Macaca fascicularis: one gene and its partners. The protein of the gene in region 1 interacts with the protein of each later gene in a pairwise test. Links are inferred from orthologs where the notes say so. Each region holds a gene or a part of one and is shown in the gene's direction. Other genes may lie near its edges.

What was found.
Region 2: the proteins of C1H1orf94 (region 1) and RAD51D interact in binary tests that used the Homo sapiens proteins (3 or more experiments, as listed by UniProt). The two-hybrid records come from large-scale screens. The link is inferred for Macaca fascicularis from reciprocal best matches to the Homo sapiens genes C1orf94 and RAD51D.
Region 3: the proteins of C1H1orf94 (region 1) and VENTX interact in binary tests that used the Homo sapiens proteins (3 or more experiments, as listed by UniProt). The two-hybrid records come from large-scale screens. The link is inferred for Macaca fascicularis from reciprocal best matches to the Homo sapiens genes C1orf94 and VENTX.
Region 4: the proteins of C1H1orf94 (region 1) and BOLL interact in binary tests that used the Homo sapiens proteins (3 or more experiments, as listed by UniProt). The two-hybrid records come from large-scale screens. The link is inferred for Macaca fascicularis from reciprocal best matches to the Homo sapiens genes C1orf94 and BOLL.
Region 5: the proteins of C1H1orf94 (region 1) and RBM47 interact in binary tests that used the Homo sapiens proteins (3 or more experiments, as listed by UniProt). The two-hybrid records come from large-scale screens. The link is inferred for Macaca fascicularis from reciprocal best matches to the Homo sapiens genes C1orf94 and RBM47.
Region 6: the proteins of C1H1orf94 (region 1) and RBPMS interact in binary tests that used the Homo sapiens proteins (3 or more experiments, as listed by UniProt). The two-hybrid records come from large-scale screens. The link is inferred for Macaca fascicularis from reciprocal best matches to the Homo sapiens genes C1orf94 and RBPMS.
Region 7: the proteins of C1H1orf94 (region 1) and ATXN1 interact in binary tests that used the Homo sapiens proteins (3 or more experiments, as listed by UniProt). The link is inferred for Macaca fascicularis from reciprocal best matches to the Homo sapiens genes C1orf94 and ATXN1.

What each region holds. Positions count from the first base shown.
Region 1 is NC_088375.1:200,805,403-200,809,553, reverse strand, and holds the start of C1H1orf94 (uncharacterized protein C1orf94 homolog), read left to right. Parts: upstream 1-1,351; 5' UTR 1,352-1,835; coding exon 1,836-2,155; intron 2,156-4,151.
Region 2 is NC_088390.1:41,455,792-41,459,897, reverse strand, and holds the start of RAD51D (DNA repair protein RAD51 homolog 4), read left to right. Parts: upstream 1-1,306; 5' UTR 1,307-1,552; coding exon 1,553-1,634; intron 1,635-1,994; coding exon 1,995-2,056; intron 2,057-2,545; coding exon 2,546-2,664; intron 2,665-4,106. UniProt on the Homo sapiens protein: Involved in the homologous recombination repair (HRR) pathway of double-stranded DNA breaks arising during DNA replication or induced by DNA-damaging agents. Bind to single-stranded DNA (ssDNA) and has DNA-dependent ATPase activity.
Region 3 is NC_088383.1:142,308,268-142,312,225, forward strand, and holds the start of VENTX (homeobox protein VENTX), read left to right. Parts: upstream 1-1,158; 5' UTR 1,159-1,587; coding exon 1,588-1,828; intron 1,829-3,074; exon of another isoform or gene 3,075-3,231; coding exon of another isoform or gene 3,232-3,271; intron 3,272-3,386; coding exon 3,387-3,547; intron 3,548-3,628; coding exon 3,629-3,958. UniProt on the Homo sapiens protein: May be involved in ventralization.
Region 4 is NC_088386.1:93,376,512-93,380,572, reverse strand, and holds the start of BOLL (protein boule-like), read left to right. Parts: upstream 1-1,261; 5' UTR 1,262-1,831; coding exon 1,832-1,852; intron 1,853-4,061. UniProt on the Homo sapiens protein: Probable RNA-binding protein, which may be required during spermatogenesis. May act by binding to the 3'-UTR of mRNAs and regulating their translation.
Region 5 is NC_088379.1:39,762,384-39,765,883, reverse strand, and holds part of RBM47 (RNA-binding protein 47), read left to right. Parts: intron 1-221; 5' UTR 222-252; coding exon 253-1,375; intron 1,376-2,431; coding exon 2,432-2,638; intron 2,639-3,500. UniProt on the Homo sapiens protein: Single-stranded RNA-binding protein that functions in a variety of RNA processes, including alternative splicing, RNA stabilization, and RNA editing. Functions as an enzyme-substrate adapter for the cytidine deaminase APOBEC1.
Region 6 is NC_088382.1:33,583,765-33,588,057, forward strand, and holds the start of RBPMS (RNA-binding protein with multiple splicing), read left to right. Parts: upstream 1-1,493; 5' UTR 1,494-2,054; coding exon 2,055-2,120; intron 2,121-3,513; exon of another isoform or gene 3,514-3,556; coding exon of another isoform or gene 3,557-3,559; intron 3,560-4,293. Other genes in the region: uncharacterized protein, read right to left, coding at 720-1,481.
Region 7 is NC_088378.1:156,582,463-156,585,962, forward strand, and holds part of ATXN1 (ataxin 1), read left to right. Parts: intron 1-2,632; coding exon of another isoform or gene 2,633-2,761; 5' UTR 2,762-2,792; coding exon 2,793-3,500. Other genes in the region: uncharacterized protein, read left to right, coding at 2,633-2,761. UniProt on the Homo sapiens protein: Chromatin-binding factor that repress Notch signaling in the absence of Notch intracellular domain by acting as a CBF1 corepressor. Binds to the HEY promoter and might assist, along with NCOR2, RBPJ-mediated repression. Binds RNA in vitro.

The sequences.
Region 1 (4,151 bases):
GTTATTTTCCATCAGAGCCCCATTGCATCTGTAATTATTGCTGCTTTACTCGCTTGGCTAGTTTGCATCGATCTCCCCTCACTAGTATACAGGCTCCATGAGAGCAGGGACCATGCCACTTTTGCCCACCCTTATGCTTCTTCAGTGCCCAGCAACTCATCGGGCACAAAGGAGGGGTTGCATCAGTACTGGGGGAATTATGAATGGGGATAGGAGAAGTTCAGAAAGTTCTTAGGGTCACACAGCGGGGAAGTGTCAGGATTCAACCCAGCCCTGCATTTATAGACTGCCATCTTCTTCTATTTGTGTCCATTCTTCTTTCTTCCTTCTCCACCCTCTTGCTCTTCCTTTCCAGGAGTATTATTAAAGAAACAACGCCCTGACTCTTGGGACCAGAAAGTCTCCCTCAGAGGAGGTACTGTGTCAGTGCCCAGTTGAATGAAGCCGCTTCAGTGAGGGTAGGGGCCTGTTGATCAGTAAACAGCTAACTTAGCCCTTCTCCCAGCACCTCGGACCTCCTACCCCTGCTCCTGCCCACCTACTGAAGCAGTCTCAGTGCTCAAGGGCTAGATCAGGCCTAGAGTGCTGGGGTCTGAATCTCAGCTCCCCTTTTCTTAGTGGGCCTTGGACACTATCATTTATGACTTTGAGATTCGCTTTCCTCCCATTTAGAACGATAATAAAAAGTGGTACTAATTTCACGAGCTTTGATAGGATTGAATGTGAGCCCAGCGCTTGGCACAGGGCAAGCGCCCCATAAAATGGCAGTTAGGATTAAACTCGAGGATGAGGGGGCCCCCCAGGCAGGAGCTGAGGTTTGTGTGGAGCGGTGAAGTGGGGCGGCGGCGCGTTTGGCTTTGACTTCTGATCCGCCGAAGCGCTCTGGGGTCCTTTGGGCCCCACCCCCACCCACCCCACCGGCGGGTCTTGGGCTCCGAACCCAGGGCGTCCCGCGCACCGAGCCGTTGCGTTTGAAACCCACAGAAAGAATTCCCCCGCTCGACGACTGCGAGGGTGTGGGAGCCATTGGCAGGGCAAATTGGTGGGAGCCGCCCGGCCCAGCCTGCCTTGCCGAGTCAGCGCGCTCTTGAGCTGCTGGGCCCTTCCCGGTGCCCATCCCGCAGCGCGGCGCGGCCAGGGCAGGGGTCTGCTGGGGGCCGGGACTGAGGGCTGTGGGCCCATCCACACACGCCTCGTCCCTTCTTTCCCGGGGCGGCAGAGCAGCAGCGGGAGACCAGGAGCAGGTGGGGTAGGGCGAGAGTAAAGCAAGAACTGGGCCGGCGGCGGGGACCGGGCCGTTGGCGCTCGCTCTGCGAGGGGCTCCCTGGGAACGCCCAGGCGAGCGTTTCCTGCGGGGCCCCGCCCCCCGGGTGCCTACCATGGTGTCAGGCCCGCACCCAGTTCTCCGCGTGTCCTAGCGGGCCAGCATGGGCTGAGCCCAGGCGCCGCAAGGTGTCACGGCGGCGTCGCAAGGGGGCAGTGCCAGGGACTGTGGGGAGAGCCAGCCCTCCCCCTCCAGCTGTTCCCAGATGTCATTCTGCCCGCCCAGGCGCCTGGTTCCTGAGCTCCGGGGCATTCCACTGTTCCTAAGCTACTGGTTTTTGTTGACTTTTAAATATTTTCTTCTGAGGGAGAGGGGGAGGGCGGCAAAAGTTAGGAAAGAGGAAATAAAAACAAATCAAAATAAGCCCTCCCCTCCCCAAAAGAAAACTGTCCTCCACCCACCCCTCCCACACAAATCGAAGGCCTCTGAACCTAACCACCTTGTGGGAGCGACAGCCAGACAGAACTGACCCACTTCTGCCAAGACCCATCCTCATCTCCCTTTCTGGTGAATGAGGAGTGGTGGTGGATGTCTTCTAGCCCTGGGTGGACAGAGGGGCTTCCAGAAAGAGCGGAGGAGGATGGCAAGTGGGAATGGGCTTCCTTCATCCTCGGCCCTGGTGGCCAAGCGCCCCTGCGCCCTGGGCCCATTCCCCAGATACATCTGGATCCACCAGGACACACCCCAAGACAGCCTAGACAAGACTTGCCATGAAATCTGGAAGAGAGTTCAAGGCCTGCCTGAAGCCTCACAGCCCTGGACCTCCATGGAGCAGCTGTCTGTCCCCGTGGCTGGAACTCTAAGAGGCAATGAGCTCAGCTTTCAAGAAGAGTGAGTACCCCCCTATTCCGTTGGCAGAAAGGGAGGAGGGAGGAGATGAAGTCTGACCTTCTAGGGGAATGTTCTGGCCCACCCTTGAGGCTGCTGAAACCCTAAAGGCTGTATATTGCCCCTTCCATGGTCCTTTGTCCAAGCGTTATAGAAGAGCTGACCAAGGTTCTGATGTTTCGTGGGTGAAGAGCCAGATTAGGGCTATATTCCAGGCTGCCTCTTCACTAGCCCACTAAGCAGACATCTCTCATCCTAAACGCATGTGAATCTGAGGTCCTTGAAAAACCACCCTAGCCAAGGCTAAGGGTTACATGGCTCGTGACTTTCCCCAGAAGCAACTAGAAGATCCTTCCCCTCTCCCACCTAAAGGCTAGGCATTCACATGGATGAGACTGATGGTTTTAAATCACATCTGGAATTCCCTAATACAGGGAGCAGCTGTCCCATTCAGCCTCCACAGAAGCTGCTGCAAGAGCACACATCAAAATATTTACTGGGAAGGCACTGACATATTCAGAGGACATAATAGAAAATTAAAGTGCGGGAAGATGGCTGTAAATAGCCCGTTTCCTGGATGGGAAATCCTGTGTCTGGGAAACACAGAGCTAAGTGTTTCTCCATCAGGGCAAAGTTGGGCAGATATTGTTGGGGATGGATATTCGAAAGGAAAGGAAGGAGCAGAGAGGAAAAAGGGACCTCATTAGGAAAAGAAGGTAAATCTGCTGTGGTTATTAATACCACTGTTGAGCACTTATTTCACATTTTGCATCTTCAAAGTGGACTGTAAACTTAATTAATGCTCCCAGAGTCCCTATGAGGCAGGTATTAGTGTCCCCATTTTACAGATGGATTAAGTGTTAATAATTAAGAGCTAATTAAAGACTAACCGATAATTAAGTGTTGCCTGCTCCAACACATGCTACAGCTCAGTTCAGAGATGCTCTGGAGTTGGGGAGCCATTCAGGCATTTATCAGCTGCCTCAGGTTTCAGGGATGCCAAAGCAAGAGCTAAGAAGAAATGCAAAGTGTAACGGACACCCACCTCTGCACTACCTGCTGTCCCTCTGTGGGCTCATTTACTTACTGCAGATGAAGGTGGAAGGTACTTTGGCTAGTCCTGCCTCCCTGCCCTGTGCTCAGCACGACATGGCTCAGATAGGAATGGCCTATCTACAGCCAAAACCCTGCTGTCAGGCCCTTCAGTGGCATTGAGCCCTTCTTCCCTGCTCATTGCCATCTGCTCCGGGACAGGGCCTTGGCAGGAGGGCTGTGCTCAGCTCTCAGTGGCCAAGGAGCTGATTGTCCACTTCGTGGACCAAGGGTCAGTAGCAATTTCCAGTAGATGGCACCCTCTTTGCCAGGTCACATGGAGTTAATGGAGACAGACTCTACTTCCAGTCTGCACTTGGCTGAAAATTGAACTGGTGCACCTTTGGCCAGCTGCTTAACTCCATTTGGCCTTTATTTCCTCATTTGCAAATTGAGGATGATATGCACTGCCTTGTCCACCTCAGAGTTGATAATGAGGATCCGATGTGATGGGAGACAGTGAAATGAAAGATGCATTATACAAATCAGGCTGCCCTTAACTTGTACTTCTTCAGGTTGGGATTTGTTGTTGTTGTTGTTGTTGTTGTTGTTGTTGGCGGCTTCAATCTGGGATTTCACACTATGCTCCATATACCTCAAGGTGCTTCAGGGGTACCGTGGAGTCAAGTGGGCTGGTTGCTGGGCCCCAAAATCCATTTCAGCCAGAGCTGTTTAGCTTTTATCAGTTTTACTTACTGGAGTTCTGAGAAGGGCTGAATTTGAAAAGTGTGTTTCTGCTATTGAGAAAAGAGATAGGAAACCACTGACTTAGATGAATAAACAATATCCTAATTGTCAACAAAATAGAACACAATGAGCTATTCTTAAAATAAAGGCAGTGTGCTGGTGGAGTCAGATAACTCTGGTTTCAGATTCCATTTCAGCCCCATGACATTTGAAGAATTTG
Region 2 (4,106 bases), on another chromosome or scaffold:
TGGATGTGAAGTCCAGCCCTGTGCTGCCTAGCTGGGTGACCTTGGGCAAGTGACTTAACCTCACCGAACCTCAGTTTCTTCATTGGTGAAACAGGGATAAAAAATAGCGCCTCCCTCACAGGTTTGTGATGAGATAACCATGTACAGTTTTATTTCTTCCTGTGGATGAGGCAAAGAACATTTAAAAATGCCAAATTATGCCGGGCGCGGTGGCTCAAGCCTGTAATCCCAGCACTTTGGGAGGCCAAGACGGGCGGATCACGAGGTCAGGAGATGGAGACCATCCTCGCTAACATGGTGAAACCCCGTCTCCACTAAAAAAATACAAAAAACTAGCCGCTTGAGGTGGGGCGCCTGTAGTCCCAACTACTCGGGAGGCTGAGGCAGGAGAATGGCGTAAACCCGGGAGGAGGAGCTTGCAGTGAGCTGGGATCCGGCCACTGCACTCCAGCCTAGGCGACAGAGCGAGACTCCGTCTCAAAAAAAAAAAAAAAAAAGCCAAATTATGTATTTTTGTGTGTGTTCTATATAACTAAGGTTTTCTGCCTTAAAAATAAATAAATAAATAAATAAATAATAAATAAAGGCCAGGCACGGTGGCTCACACCTGTAATCCCTGCACTTTCGGAGACGAACGCAGGAGGACTGTTTGAGCCCAGGAGTTCGAGACCTGCCTGGGCAATACGGTGAAACCCCATTTTGTAGAGGTGAAACCTCTACAAAAAAAATACAAAAATTAGCTGGGCAATGTGGCGCCTGACTGTAGTCCCAGCTACTCAGGAGGCTGAGACAAGAGGATCGCTTGAACCCAGGAGGTCGAGGCTGCAATGAACTGAGATCTCACCAGGGCACTCCAGCCTGGGCGGCCGACCAAGACCCTGTATCAACCAAAACAAAACAAACTTTTGAAAAACAGACGCAGGTGTCCCTGGGTGCTTTGCTGCTTCTTGGCACCTGTCGTATAATCTGTAATGATGTGATTTCTGTGATTCCTTTTCATTGTCTGTCCCTCGCTCACAGGTAAGCTCCCTGGGGGTAAAGGCGGGTCGTCTTGGGTCGCATTTTGTCCCCAGCGTTTGGAACGGAAATTGGCACACAGAAGGCTCTTTAGAAGGCCGGTGTGTGTGCTGCGTTAGAAAGTAGAGGCCGGATGCGGCCGTGGGTGGCGTGTTGAGCGCAGAGCGGGTCGTGGGCGGTGGAGAGTGGCGCGCCGCGGGCTGGGTGTAGGGGGCGCAGCGGCTCTGCCCCACGCGGCCCGCAGATGGCGCTGCAGGCCAGGTCCTCGCCGCGCGCCAGCCTGGAACCCGGAAGCGGCAGCGCGGCCCGACCGGGCTGGCGGGCTCTGGAAGCGGGAATCCCGGCGGATCCCGGGAGGGCCGATAACCCCCAGCCCTACCCTTGGTGCCGCCTCCTCCTCCCTCCTTCCTCCTCCTGCAGCCAGCGCGCCTGTGTCCCCTCTAGGAAGGGGTGGAAGAGGGGCGTCTGGAGAGGACCCCGCGAATGCCCACGTGACTGGCAGTCCTCCTTGGGGCTCTTCCAGCCTGCAGGGAACATGGGCGTACTCAGAGTCGGACTGTGCCCTGGCCTCACCCAGGAGATGATCCAACTTCTCAGGAGCCGCAGGATCAAGACAGGTGACCGGGTGTGCGCGTGCCAGAGAGCCGCGCGGGCCGCGCACAGCCTGGGCAGGCCCCGAGGGCTGGCACCCTGCCCTGGCATATTTGCAGGGAGCTTCTCCTCCATTCCTAGAGGGCCACGCTTCTGGAGAGGCTCAGGAATGGTGGGCGTGGGGAGCCAAGCTCTAAAGCAGGGTGGAGGATTCCTATTGTGTGCAGGGCACCGCGCCGGCTCTTGCAGCTTTGTGATTTCACAGTGGCCTCCTGAGAAGGCCTGCTGAGAGGTAGAATTGACACCCCATTTGACAGATGAGGAAGAACCAAGTGTGGGAGGGCCCCCGCCTCTCTGCCAATCCGCTATACGTGTTTTGTTTTCAGTGGTGGACCTGGTTTCTGCAGACCTGGAGGAGGTAGCTCAGAAATGCGGCTTGTCTTACAAGGTGAGCTCCGTATCTATCTCCACACTCCAAACCTGAGTGTCTTTAAAAGTCCATCGCAAGCCAGCTGGGCGCGGTGGCTCACGCCTGTAATCCCAGCATTTTGGGAGGCCGAGGCGGGCGGGCCACTTGAAGTCAGAAGTCAGGAGCTTCAGACCATCCTGGCCAACATGGTGAAACCCTGTCTCTACTAAAAATACAAAAATTAGCTGGGTGTGGTGGCGGGCGCCTACAATCCCAGCTACTCGGGAGGCTGAGGAAAGAGAATGGTTTGAGCCCAGGAGGCAGAGGTTGCAGTGAGCCGAGATCATGCTACTGCACTCCAGTCTGGGCGACAGAGTGAGACTCTGTCTAAAACAACAACAACAAAAGTCTATCCCACGCCAAAGGGAGCAGAGGGGTCTCAGATATTGAGAAGTGGGGTGAATGAGACCCTGGGATGCCAGCTTCTATGGGCAATTCGTTGCTGAGCAGTCTGGGCCCCTTTGGCAGGCCCTGGTTGCCCTGAGGCGGGTGCTGCTGGCTCAGTTCTCAGCTTTCCCCTTGAATGGCGCTGATCTCTATGAGGAACTGAAGACCTCCACTGCCATCCTGTCCACCGGCATTGGCAGGTTTGTATGTGTACTTGGGGAAGAAGGAGAGAGGCAGGAAGATGGGGCTGCCTCTCAGCTCTGCTTTTGATGCTTGAGTAGACAGGAGTTTTTTTTTTTTTAAGCAATAATGGACGGGAAGGAAAGGGGTCAGGACTTCTGAGTTCTTATCCTATAACAGGGTTATGGGTTTCTCAGCCTTGGCACTTGATATTTAGGGACAGGTAATTATTTGTTGGGGGTTGGAGGCTGTCCTGTGCATTGTAGGATGTGTAGCAGCATCCCTGGCCTCTGCCCACTAGATGCTAGTAGCACCACCCTTGCTCCAGTTGTGACCATCAAAAATGTCTCCCGACATGGCTAAATGTCCCCTGGGAGGCACAACTACCTCTGGTTGAGAAGCACTTTCCTATCACACAAGATGTCAGTATCTCATTATTTTCACCATCTTCTCTGGCCCTAATTCTTGTTTTACTTAAGGATATGGCAAGAGAGAACATTTATTGAGTGCCTACTATGTGCAGGCATTGCCCGTATGTTCTAGGTAATCTCTTCAGTGACTCTGCCAGTTAGAGATTATTAACCTTAGTTGACTTTAACCTAAGAGGAGCAAGTGGCAAAGGTGAGGCTCAAGCCCGGGAGTATGTGGCCCAGACCTTGGTTCCTTCACCACATCTGCAGCAGTAGGGAACAGGAGAGTTCAGATAAAGGAGGAGTTGCAGGCTGGGTGCAGTGCTCATGCCTGTAATCCCAGCACTTTGGGAGGCTGAGGTGGCAGATCACTGGAGGCCAGGAGTTTGAGACCTGCCTGGCCTGCCTGCCTGCCCAAAATGATGAAATCCTGTCTCTACTAAAAATACAAAAATTAGTCAGGCGTGGTGGCAGGCACCTGTAGTCCCAGCTACTTGGGAGGCTGCGGCAGGAGAATCGCTTGAATCTGGGAGGTGGAGGTTGCAGAAAGCTGAGATCACACCACTGCACTCCAGCCTTGGTGACAGAGCGAGACTCTGTCTCAAAAAAAAGGAGCAGTTATATTCTGCCACGTTGTTTGGTGGGTTGGGGAAGAGTTGCAAAGACGACAGACGTTTGCTGACCAAGTGAGTCTTGACCTTTTTCCTGGTCCATTTGTTCAGAAATTGATGAATAATTGCCACCACAAACGTCTTTGGATTGGTTTGGCCCTTTCTGTTTCCTTAACACATTCTCTTGGCAGGGTTCATGCAGCATGGTGCTTGCTTTCCCTGGTTGGGGGTCTGAGTCTGTGATCCATCCAGCACTGGCTAAGGGCCTGCTGGGTGCTTGGTACGGGCAGATGATACACACGAATGAGGCAAGGCCCCTGCCCTTAAGGCCTCTAGTTGGGTGTAGGGGAAAAGCAAGTGAATACAAGAGAGGTGTAAGCACCGAGGGAGGCAGCAGTGAGGAGGAAGTGGTGAACAGGAAGCCGATTGGCCTTGGGCTTA
Region 3 (3,958 bases), on another chromosome or scaffold:
TTCCTGGCCCCCCAGCCCTCCTGGTTTTACCCCCGAGGCCACGTCCAAAGCCCCCAGCGCCCCACCCCTGCCAGCCTCCCCCTTGAGGGCCCGGTGGCCTAACTGGGTCGGCAGGGTCCGAGGAAGACCAGGGTCAGCAGCGGCGCAGTCCGTTCCCCGACCCCGTCACCTGTGACCCACCTGTTCCCCGTGAGGTCCCGCCCCAGCGCCCCCCTCCCGGGCTCCTCCCTCTTTTCTCAGCCCGGGAGGCGCGGATAGCCGGGTTGGGCGTAACCGTGGGGCGAGGCCCGCGGGTCTTTCTGATTTCGGAGAGCGGGGTGGGCGCTGAGGCAACCGCGGTCAGGACCCGGCCGGGAGTCGGGGCTGCTCCCTGGACCCCGTCTGCGCCGAAACCCCGCATGGCTTCGGACCTGCGCCCGCGCCTAACCCCGGCCGCCGGAGACGCAGTGTGGACCCCAAGCCAGTGCGCGGAAGACACCGTCCTACCCTCGGCGTGGGCGCAACGCGAGTCCGTGTGTCCCGGCGCGCGGGAAGCTGGTCCGAGGCCGGAGGGAACGCTCGCGGCGTGGCTGCCTCCCACCCGGCCACTTCGGCCCCGCGCCCCACCCCGACGGCGCAGGCGACCCGGGGACGCCCAGGACGCGGAGACGCAAACAACTCGGGACCAAGGTTCGTGGGAGCAGCGGCCGCGCGTCGCGATGACCGTCCCGGGAGCCCGTGCTCAAGGCGTCCCCGTGAGGTTTGGGCTCCACAGTCCCCGGCGGCTCTGCCCCCGCCCTGGCCACAGTGGGGACAGCCCGGCTTGGCGGGGACGCGCCAGTCCCGCAGCCGAAGCGGAGTGTCTACCCCGCCGCGCGAGGCAGTGGCTCCGGCCCTTCCAGCTCCGGATGGGGTCAGGGAGCCGCCCGCGCCCGCATGCGGAGGCTGCTGCGATGGCCCCGGGAGTGAGTCCCCCAGAGGAGCCGGAGTAGGGCTGGAAGCGGACGAGTGCCCCGAGAGGCCCCTCCCGACATTGCCGTCCCCGCGCGCCGCTCCCCGAGCCCTCCGCGTCTTTCCCGGAAAGCGTCCCTCGGTTCCTGCGCGACCGCACAGCCTGGACGCAGCGCACGCGGGCACCGGCTGAGTCCGCCCTGACTCTCCCAGCCTGAAGCCTGCTCGCCCTCGGGTGTCCGGGCTGGGCACAGGCGCCAGCGTCCCCCTGGAGAGGAGAGGTCGCCCGGCACCGCCCAGGGCAGGCCCGAGTGGGAGCGGGACCCTCCTACCTTCCAGCAGCCTCGGCCCGCGGGGTGGGGGTTGGGAGAGATGAAAGGAGGTGACCGATGCCGAACCGTCCCCTCTCCATTAACCAGGGCCCGCAGCCCCGCCCCTGCCCCAGACACCGAGGAGCCGGGGAGGTGTGAACGGTCTCCTTTGTGTCTCTGAATCGAAGGCAATTAGGCGCTGCTTATCCGGGCGTTAGCCGTGTATGCAAACCGGGCTCCCGCCCCCTCCTCCCGGGCTTATAAACGCCGCCGCCCGGCGAGGCCGGAGGTGGATCCTGCGCCTGGCCAGCCCCGCCCGGCCTTCCCTCCGGCCCACCTGGCCGCCATGCGCCTCTCCTCCTCCCCACCTCGTGGCCAGCAGCAGCCCTCCAGCTTTGGCTCTGTGGACTGGCTCTCCCAGAGCAGCTGCTCAGGGTTGACCCCCTCGCCCAGGCCTGCCGACGTCTCCCCGGGGAGCCTCCCTGGCCCGGGCCAGATATCCGGCGCCCGGGAGCCCCCTCAGGCCATCAGCATCAAGGAGGCCGCCACGTCCTCAGATCTGCCTGCGCCGGAGAGGACCGTGGCTGGTAGGTCCGGGCCGGGGGTCCTTCCCAGGTGGAGATGGGAGTGGGGGAGAGGCCAGGAGCCCGGCGGCTGAACTCCCCGCGGTACGGGGCGGACGAGGACAGGGCCGGGGACGTGTCCATGAGGGCCGGCGGAGGCCTTGCCTGCGCCTCACTGGAGCGCAGCTTCCCTCGAAACCAAAGCCTTGACGGGGATTTTCTCTCCTTGAGCCCTCGGTGGGCTCCTCTGCCTCCCTTGGCACCCCGTTCCTCAGCTGTGTCCCACCGCGGCCTGGTGCCGAGGGACCGTCCAAGGGGTCCCTGTCCGCACCTCTCTGCCCTGATTCCGGGCGCTCACTGAAACACAGCGCGGGCGTGGGCACCTGTGCCCCTAGTGTTCCAGCCCCGCAACCATCGAGACCCAGTTCCAGGGGTCCGACGATTTGCCAAGCCCCCTCTGCCCCCAGCAAAGCCAGTGCCTGCTCAGCATCTAGGCTCAAGCCCCTTCCAGGCCACCTGGAGCACAGCTGTCTTTTAAAGAGCCTGCAGGTTTGCTGTAGGGCGGCGGTGACCCGGTGCCTGCAGAAACTCTGAAGTTCGGTCTGTGGCCCGGAGATGCTCTGTTGTCTGCTGAGAACAAAGGTTCTCCGCGTTTGTGTTTTAGTCTTTGTGACATCGTTGCCGCTTTTAGGTTTAAGGTAGTACTTGGTCAAAAGTGGGGTTAACATAAGTTTTCATTTTTAAAAATTTGACTGATCCTCATGGAGTAACTTTGTACTTCAGGGAAATGAAAATTTAAATATGTTCTTCCCAGCTAGCTATCCTGCCCCACCCCAAAAAAGTCAACCATTCCTGTCCCCCAACCCCCTTCCTGATCCCAGTCCTACAGCCCTCCCCGCCACAAGGCATTTGCTTTTCGGGTCTCCCATGTGCTTTCAGGCTAACGTGAAGACAGATTTTGTAAAATACGCTTCCTTCCGCAGAAACTCCAGTGAGCATTTGGGTCAGACTTGAGTTAAATGTTGAGCTCGTTTCGCCACGTTGGCCTCCTTCCTGGGACCCAGACACACACCACCTTGTGGGGTTGTTTAGTGCCAGCCCCCATTCCTTAACTTAGAAATTAGAAAACAGACTTGACCAAGGTGGGCCTGGGGATTAACTGAGCCGGGCTCTGCTGGCTGAGGAGCCGGAGCCCAGGACAGGGACCGAGTTCCCTGGGTGGGTCCCCAGGCCTTTGCATGTAATGGACTCTACCTTACCTGCCTGGAAGTCTGCAGAAAGGGTATCCTGGGAACCGGCTTCGGAAGGGAAGTGTGGGATGGGGCCGAACTGAGTGAGCTGAGCCAGCCGAGCGGAGGGCAGGCCCAAGCTGCTGGTAGCATTCTCCCTCCCCTGAGTCACCTCTCTCAGCCCCTTTCCGCACGCACATGACCTGGAGGCTGCGGCAGGGCTGCTGGTCACTGTCAGGTGAGAAGATCTGCCCTGCCCAGCCCCCAACATGCTGTCTTCACCTGTTACCTGTGGGCGGGGCTTGCCCCATGGGGTGGCAGGCTCAGCCAAATGCTCTCACCCTCTATGCCAGGGTTGAGTAAGGAGCCAAATACCTTGCGGGGCCCCCGTGTCCGCACAGCCTTCACCACGGACCAGGTCCGCACCTTGGAGGGCGTCTTCCAGCACCACCAGTACCTGAGCCCTCTTGAGCGGAAGAGGCTGGCCAGGGAGATGCAGCTCTCAGAGGTCCAGGTGAGGCGGGCCGGGCTGAGGTGGGCAAGGGTGGGCCGGTGGCCTAGTCTCACCCCTGCTCTGATTTTGGTTTTCCTGCAGATAAAAACCTGGTTTCAGAATCGCCGGATGAAACACAAACGGCAAATGCAAGAAGTCCCGCCGAACAGCCCCTTCCTGGGGTCTCTCCACGTGCCCCCAGCTTTCCACTCACCGTCTTCTGGCCTTGCCAATGGCCTGCAGCTGCTGTGCCCTTGGGCACCCCTGCCTGGGCCCCAGGCTCTGATGCTGCCCCCGGGCTCCTTCTGGGGTCTCTGCCAAGTGGAACAGGAGGCCCTGGCCTGTACGGGGGCTTCCTGCTGCAGGCAACCTCTGGCGCACCACCCCCCAACCACAGGAAGTGGCCTGCCTGCACCGGGACCAGCCCTGTCC
Region 4 (4,061 bases), on another chromosome or scaffold:
TTGAAGGCAAAGTAACCCAAAGTCAAACTTTTATAGTAGTGTGTACAGTAGTTATTACTGGTGTAACTTTTAATAGTTGTTACTGCTGATTCTTTAAAAATATATGGCAAAATGGTTAAGATCAAGAACTGTGGGTTGGGGGTAGACCCAGGGTTAAACCTCCTACAGCTTTAGATCTTGACCAAATTACTTATCCTCCAAATCTCTGCTTCATCACGTGCTATGACGATAATTGGAGCATCTATCTGAAAGGTTGCTGTGAGAATGAAAAGATTAAATGATACTGATCATAAAGCATTGTGCCTGAAACAAAGTACTTGATAAATGGCAGCTATAATAATCATCATTACTATAAGTTTATCCAGTTGTAATCATTTTAGCTACCTACTAGAAATATGTATTCTTTCCAAAGCAGTCTTCTTTCAGCTAGGCATGGTGGCGTGGGCCTGCCTGTGGTCCCAGCTACTCAGAAGGCTGAGGTGGGAGGATCGCTTGAGCCCAGTAGGTCGAGAATGCTGTGAGCGTGAGATCGCGCCACTGCACTCCAGCCTGGGCGACAGAGTGAGCCTTCGTGTCTAAATAGTTAACTGGACGGGCAGGGTGGCTCACGCCTGTAATCCCAACACTTTGAGAGGCCAAGACAGGCAGATCACTTGAAGTCAGGATTTCAAGCCTGGTGAAACCCCTTCTCTACTAAAAATACAAAAATTAGCCGGGTGTGGTAGCAGGCACCTGTAATCCCAGCTACTCGGGAGGCTGAGACAAGGAGAACCGCTTCAATCTGGGAGGTGGAGGCTGCAGTGAGCCGAGATCGCGCCACTGCACTCCAGCCTGGGCGACAGTGCGAGACTCCGTCTCAAAAACAAAAATAAAAATAATTAGTTAATTAATCATTAATTTTTTTTTAATGCAATCTTCTTCCAAAGGCGATCACAAGGCTGTTGGAGGCTGGAGCCGCTAAGTCGCCCCCTACCGCGCGGGTGGCTTCGTCCGGGACCATTCCAGAGGCTGTGCCACTGCTGGAGGTGCTCAGCGGGGCCGGGACCCGCTTGGGGCACGGTCCGGGGCGGGCACCGGAGCCCGACTAGGCTGAGCGGCAGGTCCTGACGAAGCCACCCGCGCGGCCCCGCCCGCCTGGCGGGATGAGTGACGGCGGCAACAGGTGCAGAGAGGCGTCCGCGGCTTCTCAGGAGCCCCCGAGTTTGGCGCGTCAGGCCCCGAGAGTCAGAGTTTGACTCTAGAACCTTCTTCGCATTACACCAGTCTTCGGAAGTCGCCCGTCAATCGGCTTCTTCCAGCCCAGTAAAGGCTTAAGGTCACCTCAACCTCTCGAAACCCACCAGTCCCAGAGGCCGACTCTTCTCAAGTGGAGGAGACGGGAAGGCGTGCCGTGCATGGAGCTTTGCCCGACCGCTCGCTCTCTCTTCCCCAGCCGTCTGAGAGCAGGCGAGAGGGGTCCCAGAACAGAGCCCTCGCTCCGCACGCCCCACGCCTGCCCCGCTGTGCCGTGCGCTCTGCCCCTGAGACGCCCCGGCTCGGAGTCCCAGAGCCGCAGCCGAAACTCGCCCGCCCGCGCCCCTCTCCAGCTTGCGGCGCCCGCCCGCACCGCCGCCTGCCACCCGAGGCGACGCCGTCTGCTTCTCCCCACCCGCCAGGTGGCAGGTTCAGGGCCCGGGTCTGAGCCTGCTCCCCTGCAGCTGCCACCGCCGCCCTCGCCGCCAGGGGGCGAGAGTCCCAGGCAGGACAAGCAGCGCTGCTGCCTTGGCGTGAAGGTGGTTTCAAACTTTAGGCTTCTCTTCCCTACCCGCGTCTCTGAAGAGCAGAGAGGAAGATGGAAACCGAGTCCGGGCAGGTGAGTACGGCGATCAGGGCCCCAGGGCGCGGGGTAGTGGGGAGAAGGAGCAGCGTGGAGCCGGTCCCTGAGCGCCTGGAGGGGCAAGGTGAAGACCCCAAACGCTCGCTATCTGGTTAGGAAGAAACGTGGCCAGGTGCCCCATCGACCGCTGCCAGGAGCCGCCCGCCCGCAGACCTCGTCTGGCTGTGTCATGGGGGTCAGGAAGGCGCCGCCACGGGGCCTGGACTGGGTGTAGACGGGCCAGGGGACCTCAGGCGCAGATGTTTCGGGAGGCGGCGGGCTGCCGGGCACCCAGCGGAGTCCGAGCAGATAAACTGCTTTCCCGCCGAAATTGGGCTAGGCAGCGTCTTTGACGCTCCCTCCGGCCGAACTTCGACCCATCGGCCCAGAGCGAGGAGTTGTCAGGGCGGTCGACGCCTCCACTCCCCGACTGGTCAGCGAGGACCGGAAGGTCTGAGAGACCTCGCGGGGGCCCGCCTGTGGCCCAGGTGGGATCCGGACACTGTAGCACTGGCTGTGCACCCGAGCCAGTCAGGGCGGACTTGGGGAAGTGAAGAAAGACGGCCCACACAGGCCCGAGGCGCAGCGGCAACGTGCCGTCCCGCCCCGCCCCGTCCCGCCGCCAGCAGCCAATCAGGGAGCGCCGCGCGAGGGGGGGGACCAGCTGCGCACGAGGCCAGCGGCGGGGTCTGTGCCGTTGAGGGTTCCCGCCACTGCTGCTGGCGGATTTGCGGGGCAAAATTTCTCGCTGGCTAGCCTTCTTTTCCCTCCCGCACTTTGGTGGGGAGGGGGTGGATCCTCGTTTTGGTGCCCAAGTTCACGATGACCCGAGAGAACTCGAGGAAGTTGTCGCCGCGGCCATTTCCCCCAGTGCCGCAACTTGCTGGCCTTGGAGGGGGAGGAGCGCCGAGGCAGTGACTGCGACGGTTAGCCCGCCCGTTCCTGCTGTCTTCCTTTGCAAAATAGATGCTAGATCTCGAGGTTGACTTAAGGGGAGGAGCCAGTGAGGGCACATTGCTTTGGAGGAGAAGTTTAATAAACTCTCTAGTGCTGGAAGTTTTAACAAGCGGAGGAGACTTCAGACCCGACAACAGTCCCCTTCTAGGTGCTTCCGTAACACGTGCGGAATTTATTGCTAGTTAGAATTTGAGGCTTTCTTTGTTGTTTAACTCAATGCATCACTAATTGTTAATAATGAACTTAGATGTTGCCTCTACCTAAGCCTTGCTATTGCTAACATTAAAATATTTCGTAGGCCTGGTGTGGTGGCTCACGCCTGTAATCCCAACACGTTGGGAGGCTGAGGTGAGCGGATCACGAGGTCAGGAGATCGAGACCATCCTGTCCAACATGGTGAAACCCTGTGTCTACTAAAAATACAAAAAAATTAGTGCACGCCTGTAGTCTCAGCTACTCGGGAGGCTGACGCAGGAGAATCTCTTGAACCGGGGAGGCAGAGGTTGCAGTGAGCTGAAATCACGCCACTGCACTCCAGCCTGGTGACGAGCGAGACTCCGTCTCAAATATATATATATATACACATATACACATGTGTATATATATATAGAATATATATATATACACACATATACACATGTGTATATATATATAGAATATATATATATACACACATATACACATGTGTATATATATATAGTAGACTGCTGTTATACTGTATTCTTTTGCCTTCAGCCTATTTGGCATATCGTGAGCAGGTCTCTCCTGAAGAAATGATTCACTTTTAGTCGTTCAACAGATATTCATTGAGCACCTGCTGTGTACTGTCAGTACTTTAGATGCTGCCGTGAAAAAAGCAAAACTCCTGCCCTAGTGCATTACATAATAGTGGAGACGGATAATGGACATAATAAGTAAATTATATCGTATGTTAGAAAATGATGAGGGAGAAAAATTAAGCAAAGCGAGCCCACATTAGAGCAGGAGCCTTAGGGACTGGAGGAGAGTGAAGTGAATTGAGTGTGAAAGGTTTTTCTTTTCTCAGGGAGTATCCTTTAGTTTCTCGAGATTGGAAATAAAGCACTGTTTACTTCCGTTCATTTCATCCTTCCCTCGATGAAATATAATGGGGTTTGTCTTTTACTTAAACTTGCAAACAAATTAGTACATCTTATTTTCAATAAGAGAATTTCATGAAGAATGATTTTTTTAATTTAGCAAATAGGTAACTTTGACACTGTAAACAAAT
Region 5 (3,500 bases), on another chromosome or scaffold:
TTTTTTTTTCCTAACTCACTTCTGGTTCTTACTGCAAGATAACTTGACTATTTTAGACAAGTGTAGGGCTGCTGCATTTCCAGAACACCTCCATCCTATTTCTCATTTAAATCACCTCACCTTCCCCGTGGCCTATTAATGCATACTTGCAAGGCTGCGAAACAACCCAAAGGAGGCAAGATCCAGCGGTTCCCCACTCACGCTCCTTTCTGCTTCCCCAGGTTTCCGCCAGCTGTGGATGCCTTTGACATTATGACCGCAGAGGATTCCACCGCAGCCATGAGCAGTGACTCGGCCGCCGGGTCCTCGGCCAAGGTGCCCGAGGGCGTGGCGGGCGCGCCCAACGAGGCGGCACTGCTGGCGCTGATGGAGCGCACGGGCTACAGCATGGTGCAGGAGAACGGGCAGCGCAAGTACGGCGGCCCACCGCCCGGCTGGGAGGGCCCGCACCCGCAGCGCGGCTGCGAGGTCTTCGTGGGCAAGATCCCGCGCGACGTGTACGAAGACGAACTGGTGCCCGTGTTCGAGGCTGTGGGCCGCATCTACGAGCTGCGCCTCATGATGGACTTCGACGGCAAGAACCGCGGCTACGCCTTCGTCATGTACTGCCACAAGCACGAGGCCAAGCGCGCAGTGCGCGAGCTCAACAACTACGAGATCCGCCCGGGTCGCCTGCTAGGCGTGTGCTGCAGCGTAGACAACTGCCGCCTCTTCATCGGCGGGATCCCCAAGATGAAGAAGCGCGAGGAGATCCTGGAGGAGATCGCCAAGGTCACCGAGGGCGTGCTGGACGTGATCGTCTACGCCAGCGCGGCCGACAAGATGAAGAACCGTGGCTTCGCCTTCGTGGAGTACGAGAGCCACCGCGCGGCTGCCATGGCTCGCCGCAAGCTCATGCCCGGCCGCATCCAGCTGTGGGGCCACCAGATCGCCGTGGACTGGGCCGAGCCCGAGATCGATGTGGACGAGGACGTGATGGAGACGGTGAAGATCCTCTACGTGCGCAACCTCATGATCGAGACCACAGAGGACACCATCAAGAAGAGCTTCGGCCAGTTCAACCCTGGCTGCGTGGAGCGCGTCAAGAAGATCCGCGACTACGCCTTCGTGCACTTCACCAGCCGCGAGGATGCCGTGCACGCCATGAACAACCTCAACGGCACTGAGCTGGAGGGCTCGTGCCTGGAGGTCACGCTGGCCAAGCCCGTGGACAAGGAGCAGTACTCGCGCTACCAGAAGGCAGCCAGGGGTGGCGGTGCGGCCGAGGCGGCGCAGCAGCCCAGCTACGTGTACTCCTGCGACCCCTACACGCTGGCCTACTACGGCTACCCCTACAACGCGCTCATCGGGCCCAACAGGGACTACTTCGTGAAAGGTTAGTGGGGGCTCTTCTCCTGGGTGGGGCCCTCAAGAACTTTGCTTCCTAGGCAGGGGGCACCAGGGATATCGTGGCTGGCATTTGCTGAGCTGGTAGGTGCTGAAGGCCCTCCCACCCTCCTTTTGGGTTTGCATTCTGGGTCTAGTTCTTTGCTGGCACCGAAGGCCATCACTTCTGCAGCATTGATAGAAATACAGGTCGTTCTGGGGTGAGCGGTAAAATCACATGGGTGTGCAAACACTGGCATTCTGCCTTGCCGCGGTCCACCGGGTTAGGGGCTCGTCCACCAATCTCTTGGTGCTTAGGTTAAAACCTGCTTGTGATATTAAATCTTAAGATGTTGGTGGAGTCAATGATTTTTAATTTTGTTTTTTGTCATCATTGGTTAGGATGTAATGAAACGCAGCATTACCTGGAAAATAAGATACATAGGTTCTGGGTCCTGTTCTCTGATTAACTAGCCTGTGACTTTAGTCACTTTAGTCTCCCCTTGGCCTGTTTTCTCAAGCATGAAATGAGGAAGGTGGACTAGCAAATCCCCTTCCAAATCTAACTTTAAAAAAAAATTATTTAATTGTGTGTGTGTGTGTATATATATATATATATATATATATATATATATATATATATATATATTTGGAGACAGGGTCTCACCATGTTGCCCAGGCTGGTCTTGAACCCCTGGGCTCAAGCCATCCTCTAGCCTTAGCCTCCCAAAGTGCTGGGATTACAGGCACAAGACACCGCACCTGGCCCCAGTTTTTTGTGGGGGGGAGTGGGTATTCTATGAATGTTTTTCTTTACTGAAATTGCAGATACAATCCTAGAAACTCACCCTGCAAGTTTGCCTCTTGTACTAAGCAGACATGCTTAGGATGCAAATCTAGGCTGAAATAGAATGTTGGAAGCATCTTTACCAGCCTATTAAAGAGCAAAGGTGTAGCTACCTGCAACTTAGACTGGAGCAGTTAAATGCTGAGAACTGAGGGCTGAGGTCTGCCTCCAGCACCATCACTGTTGGTTGCTCATCATCTTTTGTGTTGTTATTACAAGCAGGCAGCATAAGAGGCCGAGGGCGAGGTGCAGCTGGCAACAGAGCCCCGGGGCCCCGGGGTTCCTACCTCGGGGGATATTCTGCTGGCCGTGGTATATATAGCCGATATCATGAAGGGAAAGGAAAGCAGCAAGAAAAAGGATATGAACTTGTGCCGAATTTGGAAATCCCTACCGTCAACCCAGTTGCCATTAAACCTGGTACAGGTCAGTATAAACCAGATTGAGAATGCACCCATTCAGCATAAACCCCAGCCCTTCTGTTAGAAGTGAATCCAAGCCTTTCTGGGGATCTCACATCTGCACAGGGGTTCCTCTTCTCCCAGGCAGCTAGGGACAAGGCAAAAAGAAAGTGGCCCCCTGGACCTCCTTATCTAGAACTTCAAGGGATGGTGTAGCTTTGACCATGGTCAAATCAAACTTGCCTGAAGTAAGGTTTTCTTTTTTCCTTTTTTTTTTTTTTTTGAGACAGAGTCTCACTCTGTCACCCAGGCTGGAGTGCAGTGGCATGATCTCGGCTCATTGCAAGCTCTGCCTCCCGGGTGCATACTATTCTCCTGCCTCAGCCTCCAGAGTAGCTGGGACTACAGGCGCCCACCACCACGCCCAACTAATTTGTCTATATATATATATATATATATATATATATTTTTTTTTTTTTTTTTTTTTAAGTAGAGATGGGGTTTCACTGTGTTAGCCAGGATGGTCTCGATCTCCTGACCTCATGATCCGCCCATCTCGGCCTCCCAAAGTGCTGGGATTACAGGCGTGAGCCACTGCGCCCAGCCGTGCAGTAAGATTTTCAAAGGGTTGTCACCCATTGTTAGTCTTTTTCTCAGTCTGTGGCTAAGTAGGGAGAGTTGTGGGGGGAAGAAAGGAAGAACATGAGGCTCTCTGTATCTTCTGTCAGGTAAAACGTATCTTTTCCTTACTCAGGCCTATTTCTGCCCCAACCATCTGATGTCAGAGGGTAGAGCTTATTGGCCCATTCTGAGAGTTGTTGGGAAGGGCAGAAAATTCCCCTTCAGAATTCAGCAGCACCTTTTGTCCCTTGTCATGGTCTGAGCAA
Region 6 (4,293 bases), on another chromosome or scaffold:
CTTAAATCAGTATAAAGAATGTCTGCTGGGGGGTGGGGAGAAACAGTTAAGCAAATACTGTAGTTAGAAACTTACTGGTGCAGGACAGGAGCAGCAGGCTGGGACGGAGAATTCCTGGGAGTAAGAAGTGGGGCAGAACCCACTGATACATGGAGTTCCACATTTATACATTTGTAGCAGTCAAATCTAAGAGTTTAACACAGTGGTTCCAGACAGTAATTCCATCAGTTTGGGAGGCCAAAAGCCGGAGGATCACTTGAGGCCAGGAGTTCGAGATCAGCCTGGGCAACAAAGTGAGACCCTCATTTTTCTAAAAAAAACAAAAAAAAAAAAACAAAAAAAACAGAGGCTTTAACGATCGAGTATTGGAAAAGCTTTCTAAGGCCCGGGAAAAATGGAAGTTTCCTTAATAATAATGTTAGCTTCCATGTATTGTAAACCTAAACGAAGCAAGAATGAATACTGGGTGCTGTACATAGTTCTATCAACCTACAATCTCGAAAACGCTAGGAGACACATTCAGCTGCTCCCATTTAACGGATGAGGAAACAAGTACGCAATCCTGAAGTTGGTGCAAAGCCCAGGCCCCCTTTCTTCTTCAAGTGTGCTTCCAGCCTCTGAAATTCCTCCGTGTGGACCCCGAGCTCTGCCTGCAATGAGGAATATTCACTTTGCCAACAAATATTTATTGAGTGCCTACTATACACCCGGTAGCTCGTTTAAATAGCCGTGGGATTAAAAAGATAAATAGGGTAAGTTTGTGGTTTTTTCTTCCAGGAAGGAGCTTTCTGAAGGGTGAGGGAGAGGCCAAGTAAACAATCCCAGAACAGTCGGGTGAGAGTTGGGAGAGGAGTCGGGGGCCGCGGGACGCCCAGGCAGCGAAGCGGGGAAGGCTCCGGGCGCGTCGCAGGACCCGCGCTGGAGATGGGTTTGAAGCCCTGTCCTGAAAAAGCCGGCCCGGAGGGGGCTGTCCCCGGTGTCCCTCGAGTTCTCATCCTGTCATTCAAACAGCAGGGGAAGAACCGGGTCTGGCTCGGGAAGGGTGGGCTTAGGGCCAGGGGTGCAAATCCCATGGTAAAAGCCGGCAAACAAAAGTCGCACACATCCCAGCTCCCGGTCCTGGCCCCGGCGGGGCAGGGTCCCCGAAGTCCCGGGGCGCGCAGACGCCGGGGCCCCCGGGGGCCGAGGGAACTGCAGTACCCGACCTCCCCTGCCCTCGGCCTCCAGGGCCCTCGCCCTCCGACCAGCCGCCGAGTCTGGGGCTGGGGTCGCCGCTTCCGCCCGCGGCCCGCGGCCCCTCCCCGGCGCGCGCCATCCGGCCGCCGGCCCCTCCTCCCGCGGGGGGCTCCGTCCCGCGCCCCGTCCCTCCGGGCTGCAGCCGGCAGCCCACGTCCAGGGAGGGCGGAGGGAGGAGGAGAGGCGCGGAGAGGAGGGAGGGGAGAGGGGAGGGAGGAAGACGAGAGAAAGGGAGCTGCTTCCATCCCGGACTTCCCAGAGCCTGCCTGGAGCGCGCACTCAGCGGCTCTCGGGTCCCAGCGTCCCAGCCGCCGCCCGCGCCTCTCCGCCCCGCTCCTCCTCCTCTTCCTCCTCCTCCTCTTCCTCCTCCTCCTCTTCCTCCTCCTCCTCTCTAGGCACCCCCGTCCCCTCCTTCCAGCGGCTGCAGCCCCCAGCCCCAACTCTCTGCGCTTACTCCTGGGACGCGCGTCCTCGCCCCATCCTTTGCTTCCTTCCTTCCTTCTTCCTTCCTCCCCTGGCTCCCGCCCTCCCTATCCAGGTCGCCCTCCCGGGGCCCGATTGTCTCGGTGCCCCGCTCTCGGCCCGCGCCCTGCCCCGTCTCTCCCTCGTACTTCCTGAGTCGCCCGCCGCTGCCGTCGCAGTCTCGCCGCGGGAGCCCCAGCCCGACAGCCACTGCCCCGGCTCCAGCTCCAGCCCCGCAGCCCGCGGCGCCCGCCCGAGGGAGCCCCGGCGCCCGGGGAAGGCTACAGTGGGCGAGCGCGCCCTCGCCCAGCCCCGCGCCCCAGCCCTGCCCGGCCCGGCGAGGAAGGACCGGGAAGATGAACAACGGCGGCAAAGCCGAGAAGGAGAACACCCCGAGCGAGGCCAACCTTCAGGAGGAGGAGGTACTGGGCGGCTCGGTGCAGTGGCGGGGGCGATCCGGGACCCAGTGCGGGCGGCCGGCGGGGCGCGGGCGCGGGCCCGGGGCGCGGCGGTGGAAGGTTTAGGCATGGCCCGTGCCCGGGACGCAGCCCCGCAGTGTGGCCCGGGGAGGGTGGATCTCGGGAAAGTGTGTTTTTGTGTCCACGCGCGTCTGCGGGCCCCAAATTGCGTAACTCTAAGGACTTTTCGGAGACTTTTGTAAGTATAATGCTCAGCTTTGTTTGCCCGGGATTTAAAAAGTGGAACCGAGAGCTGACTCCTGGGTGACCTCAGATATCGGGACTCGGAGGGTCAGGACTTAGGGCTGGGGCTGGAAATTGTGTGTGGATTCGGGGTAGCGGGGGGGCAGTTTAAGGAAGAAACTCGGGGAAAAGTTTTCATTAAAAGATACCTCTGTTCCCTGCCCCCTCCCTTTCCGTGTTAAAAGTTCTTGGTGAAATATCTTTCTAGCCGAGGGTTTTTGGATTAATAGATAACTCATCAGCCACATTCTTCTCTGCTGAGTCAAAGACCCCGAACCTGGGCGGTGAACGCTTGCGAATTTAGGGCCGTGCAGATGAGGGGAGCAGAATAAGAGGGTTAAAAACGCAGCAATTCACCAAATGCTCATCGAGGATACTTTTATAGGACTTTGACTTCTGAGCACGCATTTTAGGTGGTGCGTCCTCACGATGAAAGTTTTGTGACTGCGGAGCGTTCCTTCGGTGGAAACAAAATTGAGTAGATGTGGTCAGAAGGGGAGTCGGACTCAGGAACAAACGTTTCAGAATTCAGTAGTAGGGTATTTGTGGTATCCTACCAAATGACTGTTTCTGCAGGTACATTATCTGGAGTCCAAGAAATTACTTCTGGCGTACTTTTTAATATCACACACAGTTGAGTTCTTAACATTCTAGAGGAACTTGAGAGTGTGTGCAGATGCAGGAAAGTGCATGTCTCAATATGACCCGAAAAGATTCACACAGGTATTGCATCCTGATCTAGGTGAACACAGAAGGTAAACGGATTCTAAAGCGTTAGGACGTTGAGATCATTGTTGAGACACTGTTGTGTGCAAACTTCAATTCTGATAGTGAAACCAAAATTGCAGAGGAATTCATTAATGCATACAAGTTCTCTGCACATTGTCCACTTGGAAAATGGGAACTATTTAGGTGGAGAAGGTAGAGGAGCGAGACTATGCCAAACAGTGCAAAATCGGAGATTTTACTCTCTTACCCAGTTGTATGGTAGTGAAAACCTAGATGAGTTGCAGTCAGTCAAAAATTGCTTTCTCACCCGAGGACATTTTCTATTTTATTATAAAAGACTATTTGAAGAGTTGTTTACATGCATGTTTTCTAATTACAAGTGTAGGAATGCTACTGGCGTTTCTTTTTTCAAAGCAATGGAGAGTTGAATGGTATGTTCTAACTTTTTTTCTTGAACTTTACTGGCTGCTTTGCTATTTATTTTCCCTACCACTTAAAAAAATTTAAAAATAATGCTTTTTTAAATTTGCTTTTTTAGGAATTACTATAGTTAACTAATTCACTTACCATATCAAAATAATTATCGCTTCAGAAATCTTCCTATTTCAGCTAAATGTGCAATCTGTTTGCTTCTCAGGGTTAGAATATTATATCAAACCATCTTTATTTACCCAGTTGAGAAAACTTTTTTTTTTTTTCCTTTTGGTGGGTAGCAAAAGAGGTTCAATGTCCTAAAAATCATACCCACTTAAAATTAAGTATAGAAAAGGCACATTTTTCCGCTTGACCCATCTTAACAGCTGCCAGCACCGAGGGATTGCCTGCCCTGTTCCTGGACGCTCCTCTGTCCTTGCGAGGTTGTGTGTAATAATTGCTGTATAATCGCGGACCATTGCAGTATGGTTGCTGCCTCTTACTTGTCCTGTTACCTGACAGTGTTCTTTTTCAGGTAGGAATGGCATGAGGCTCTAGAAAGTATCGATATTTTTAGCAAAACACTTGTTATGTAAAAAATAAGGGGACTGGTAGGAAGATTTCAGAACCTAAGTTGTCCAAGAGATGTCGTGTACAAAACAGATAAGACTGTGAAGAGAGGGGGTTTATAATGTCAGAAATTCAGGAAAAGAAACTAAGGTGGCCTGAATGATCCGGGTAATTTTGCCTT
Region 7 (3,500 bases), on another chromosome or scaffold:
AGATCACGCCACTGCACTCAAGCCTGGGTGACAGAGTGAGACTCCACTCCATCTCAAAAAAAAAAAAAAAAAAAAAAAAAAAAAAAAAAAAAAACCACCTAAGTGACATTACTCCTTCAACACTTCATTTCTTCAGCATAAGTGTTTTAGGTTTTTTTAACCTTATTTTTCATTTCCATCCCAGTCTTTAAGCTCCTCTCTTGTCGTATGAGAAATTCTATTCTTACTGAAATGTCCTTTGATATTGAGACACCAAATTTCTAAACCTCTGCCTTCCTAGATATCTGCTCACAAAACATTAAGGATTGAGAACTTTCTGTTGTGTCATTTGTCATTTCACTGTGATGTTCATTGATGATGCTGGAGCAAAACCAACAAGGGCCATTAAATCATTGCCCCTTCCAAGCCAGGCACAGTGGCTCACGCCTGTAATCCCAGCACTGGGAGGCTGAGGTGGGTGGATCACTTGAGACCTATTCAAGACCAGCCTGGCCAACATGGGAAAACCCCACCTCTACAAAAAGTACAAAAATTAGCCGGGTGTGGTGGCATGCACCTGTAGTCCCAGCTACTTGGGAGGCTGAGGTGGGAGGATCACTTGAGCCCAGGAGGCACAGGTTGCAGCGAGCCGAGATCACGCCACTGCATTCCAGCCTGAGCAACAGAGCAAGACCTTGTCAAAAAAAAGAAAGAAAGAAAGAAAAAAGAACAAAATCACTGCCCCCTCCAAAAAAAATTACAAATTAGGAGGGCAGAGGAGAGAAAGGGGGTTGTGTTTCAATAGGGATTTCACTGTTGCTTCAGCATGGACAAGGATTGAATGCTGAAGGCTGCTACTTTATTGTGTTTGTTTTAAAATCAGATTATTGGCTAGACACAGTGGCTCACGCCTGGAATCCTAGCACTTTGGGAGGCCAAGGAAGGAGGATTTCTTGAGGCCAGGAGTTCAAGACTAGCCTGGTTAATACAGCAAAACCCCATCTCTCCAAAGAAATAAAGAAATAAGGAAAATCAGATCATTGAAAAGACAGTCTGGATGTGAGATACCAAAACCCAAGGGTGTGGAGTTCCCAAAGCCCAATCCCACAGGCTCTCAGGATCACAGCACGTGGTGCTGTGCATACCTACAGCTGCTACCTGTAGAAGCAATTACATCTGCTGCTTGCTAGCCTGCTTCATGGCAGTTCCACTGATGTTCGGCCTCTTGTCTGTTGGGCATTGGTTTGCCCACACAGCAGCGGTAACTCAGACTTCAGTGGTTAGTAAGAGACTGAGATACTTGTCCATAAGAACTGGCTTCAGGGTCACCGTTTGTATGTCCAGGTTTGAACACACTGATCTGATCTATCTGAAAGAGCTGTTGTTTCTAGTGTTAATGGTGAGTTGTTCCTTTCCAAGGAGAAAGGGGACAGTGTGAAGGAGAACTTCAAAGTCAACTTGGAAAGGAAGAGCGAGACGGACAAACCAAGCATGTAACCCATTAAGAAAACTTTCAGTGCACTAGCCCTATTTTTGTATGGTATTTGTGTTTTTTAACCATAGTCAAATTCAGTTTTTAACAGTCTCACTCTGTTATCATATTAGTGACTGTACTGGGAATACTTTTGAAACTTGCAGAGAACAGGATTCTTTCTGGCGGCCCCTGCTGAGTTGGCGTGTGTGTGTGTGTGTGTGTGTGTGTGTGTGTGTGTGTGTGTGTGTATCGGGGAGAGGAAATCGTAGGTCCAGTATGGACCCAGAGCTAAGGGGAATCTTGGAGAGTAGTGGCTCTGGCAGATGAGGATTCAGAAATCAAGTGCAAGGACTGTTCTGGACTTTCAGTGCTAACCTGCTTTTTCTCAATGCCTGGCTCTGAGGGCAGGGTCCAGCTGGTGTCATGCTTTCCAAAGGCTTCATTTTATTTTCCAGCCAGGCGAAGGAGAGGTGAGAAATGGAACCAACATTTCTGAAAAGGAAATTTAAGAACTGCATCATCTACCCTCTGAAAAGAAAAGGAGAAAAAAAACAAAGGAGAGAGGATATTGAGAACATCTTAGGGGAGTTGTTAACTCCATTAAAAAATGTGTGTGTTAGAATGTTCACTTGCCCAGTGTCTTCATAATCTTCCTTTGCGATGTGCAGCTGCCATGGCTAGTGTTTTTTTGTTTTGTTTTGTTTTGTTTTGATTTGTTTTGGTTTGGGTTTGGTTTTAGAGACAGAGTCTCACTCTTTTTGCCCAGGGTGGAGTACAATGGTGCAATCTCGGCTCACTGCAACCTCCCCCTCCTGGGTTCAAGCGATTCTCCTGCCTCAGCCTCTCAAGTAGCTGGGACTACAGGCTACTATTACACCTGGCTAAAATTTTTTTTGTATTTTTAGTAGAGACGGGGTTTCACCATGTTTGCCAGGATGGTCTCAATCTCCTGACCTCGTGATCTGCCTGCCTCGGCCTCTCAAAGTGCTGGGTAGTGTTTTATCTGCTTCAGTGCTTGGGGTAGGATTGGGTTTGGGGAGTTCACACTGAGTCCAGGGCCTAGTCTTAATCTTGCCAAAGATGTTCTTTCCCCGGTGCTCATGTTCTGATGTCCTTTCCCTCCTTCCCTTTCTCCTCCCTTTCCTTTTCCCTTTGTCACTGCCCTCTTCCCTTTCCCAGCATCCAGAGCTGCTGTTGGCGGATTGTACCCACGGGGAGATGATTCCTCATGAAGAGCCTGGATCCCCTACAGAAATCAAATGTGACTTTCCGTTTATCAGACTAAAATCAGAGCCAGCCAGACAGTGAAACAGTCACCGTGGAGGGGGGACGGCGAAAAATGAAATCCAACCAAGAGCGGAGCAACGAATGCCTGCCTCCCAAGAAGCGCGAGATCCCCGCCACCAGCCGGTCCTCCGAGGAGAAGGCCCCTGCCCTGCCCAGCGACAACCACCGGGTGGAGGGCACAGCATGGCTCCCGGGCAACCCTGGTGGCCGGGGCCACGGGGGCGGGAGGCATGGGCCAGCAGGGACCTCGGTGGAGCTTGGTTTACAACAGGGAATAGGTTTACACAAAGCACTGTCCACAGGGCTGGACTACTCCCCGCCCAGCGCTCCCAGGTCTGTCCCCGTGGCCACCACGCTGCCCGCCGCGTACGCCACGCCGCAGCCGGGGACCCCGGTGTCCCCCGTGCAGTACGCTCACCTGCCTCACACCTTCCAGTTCATTGGGTCCTCCCAATACAGTGGGACCTACGCCAGCTTCATCCCGTCACAGCTGATCCCCCCAGCCGCCAACCCCGTCACTAGTGCGGTGGCCTCGGCCGCCGGGGCCACCACTCCATCCCAGCGCTCCCAGCTGGAGGCCTATTCCACTCTGCTGGCCAACATGGGCAGTCTGAGCCAGACGCCGGGACACAAGGCTGAGCAGCAGCAGCAGCAGCAGCAGCAGCAGCAGCAGCAGCAGCACCACCTCAGCAGGGCTCCAGGGCTTATCACCCCGGGGTCCCCCCCACCCGCCCAGCAGAACCAGTACGTCCACATTTCC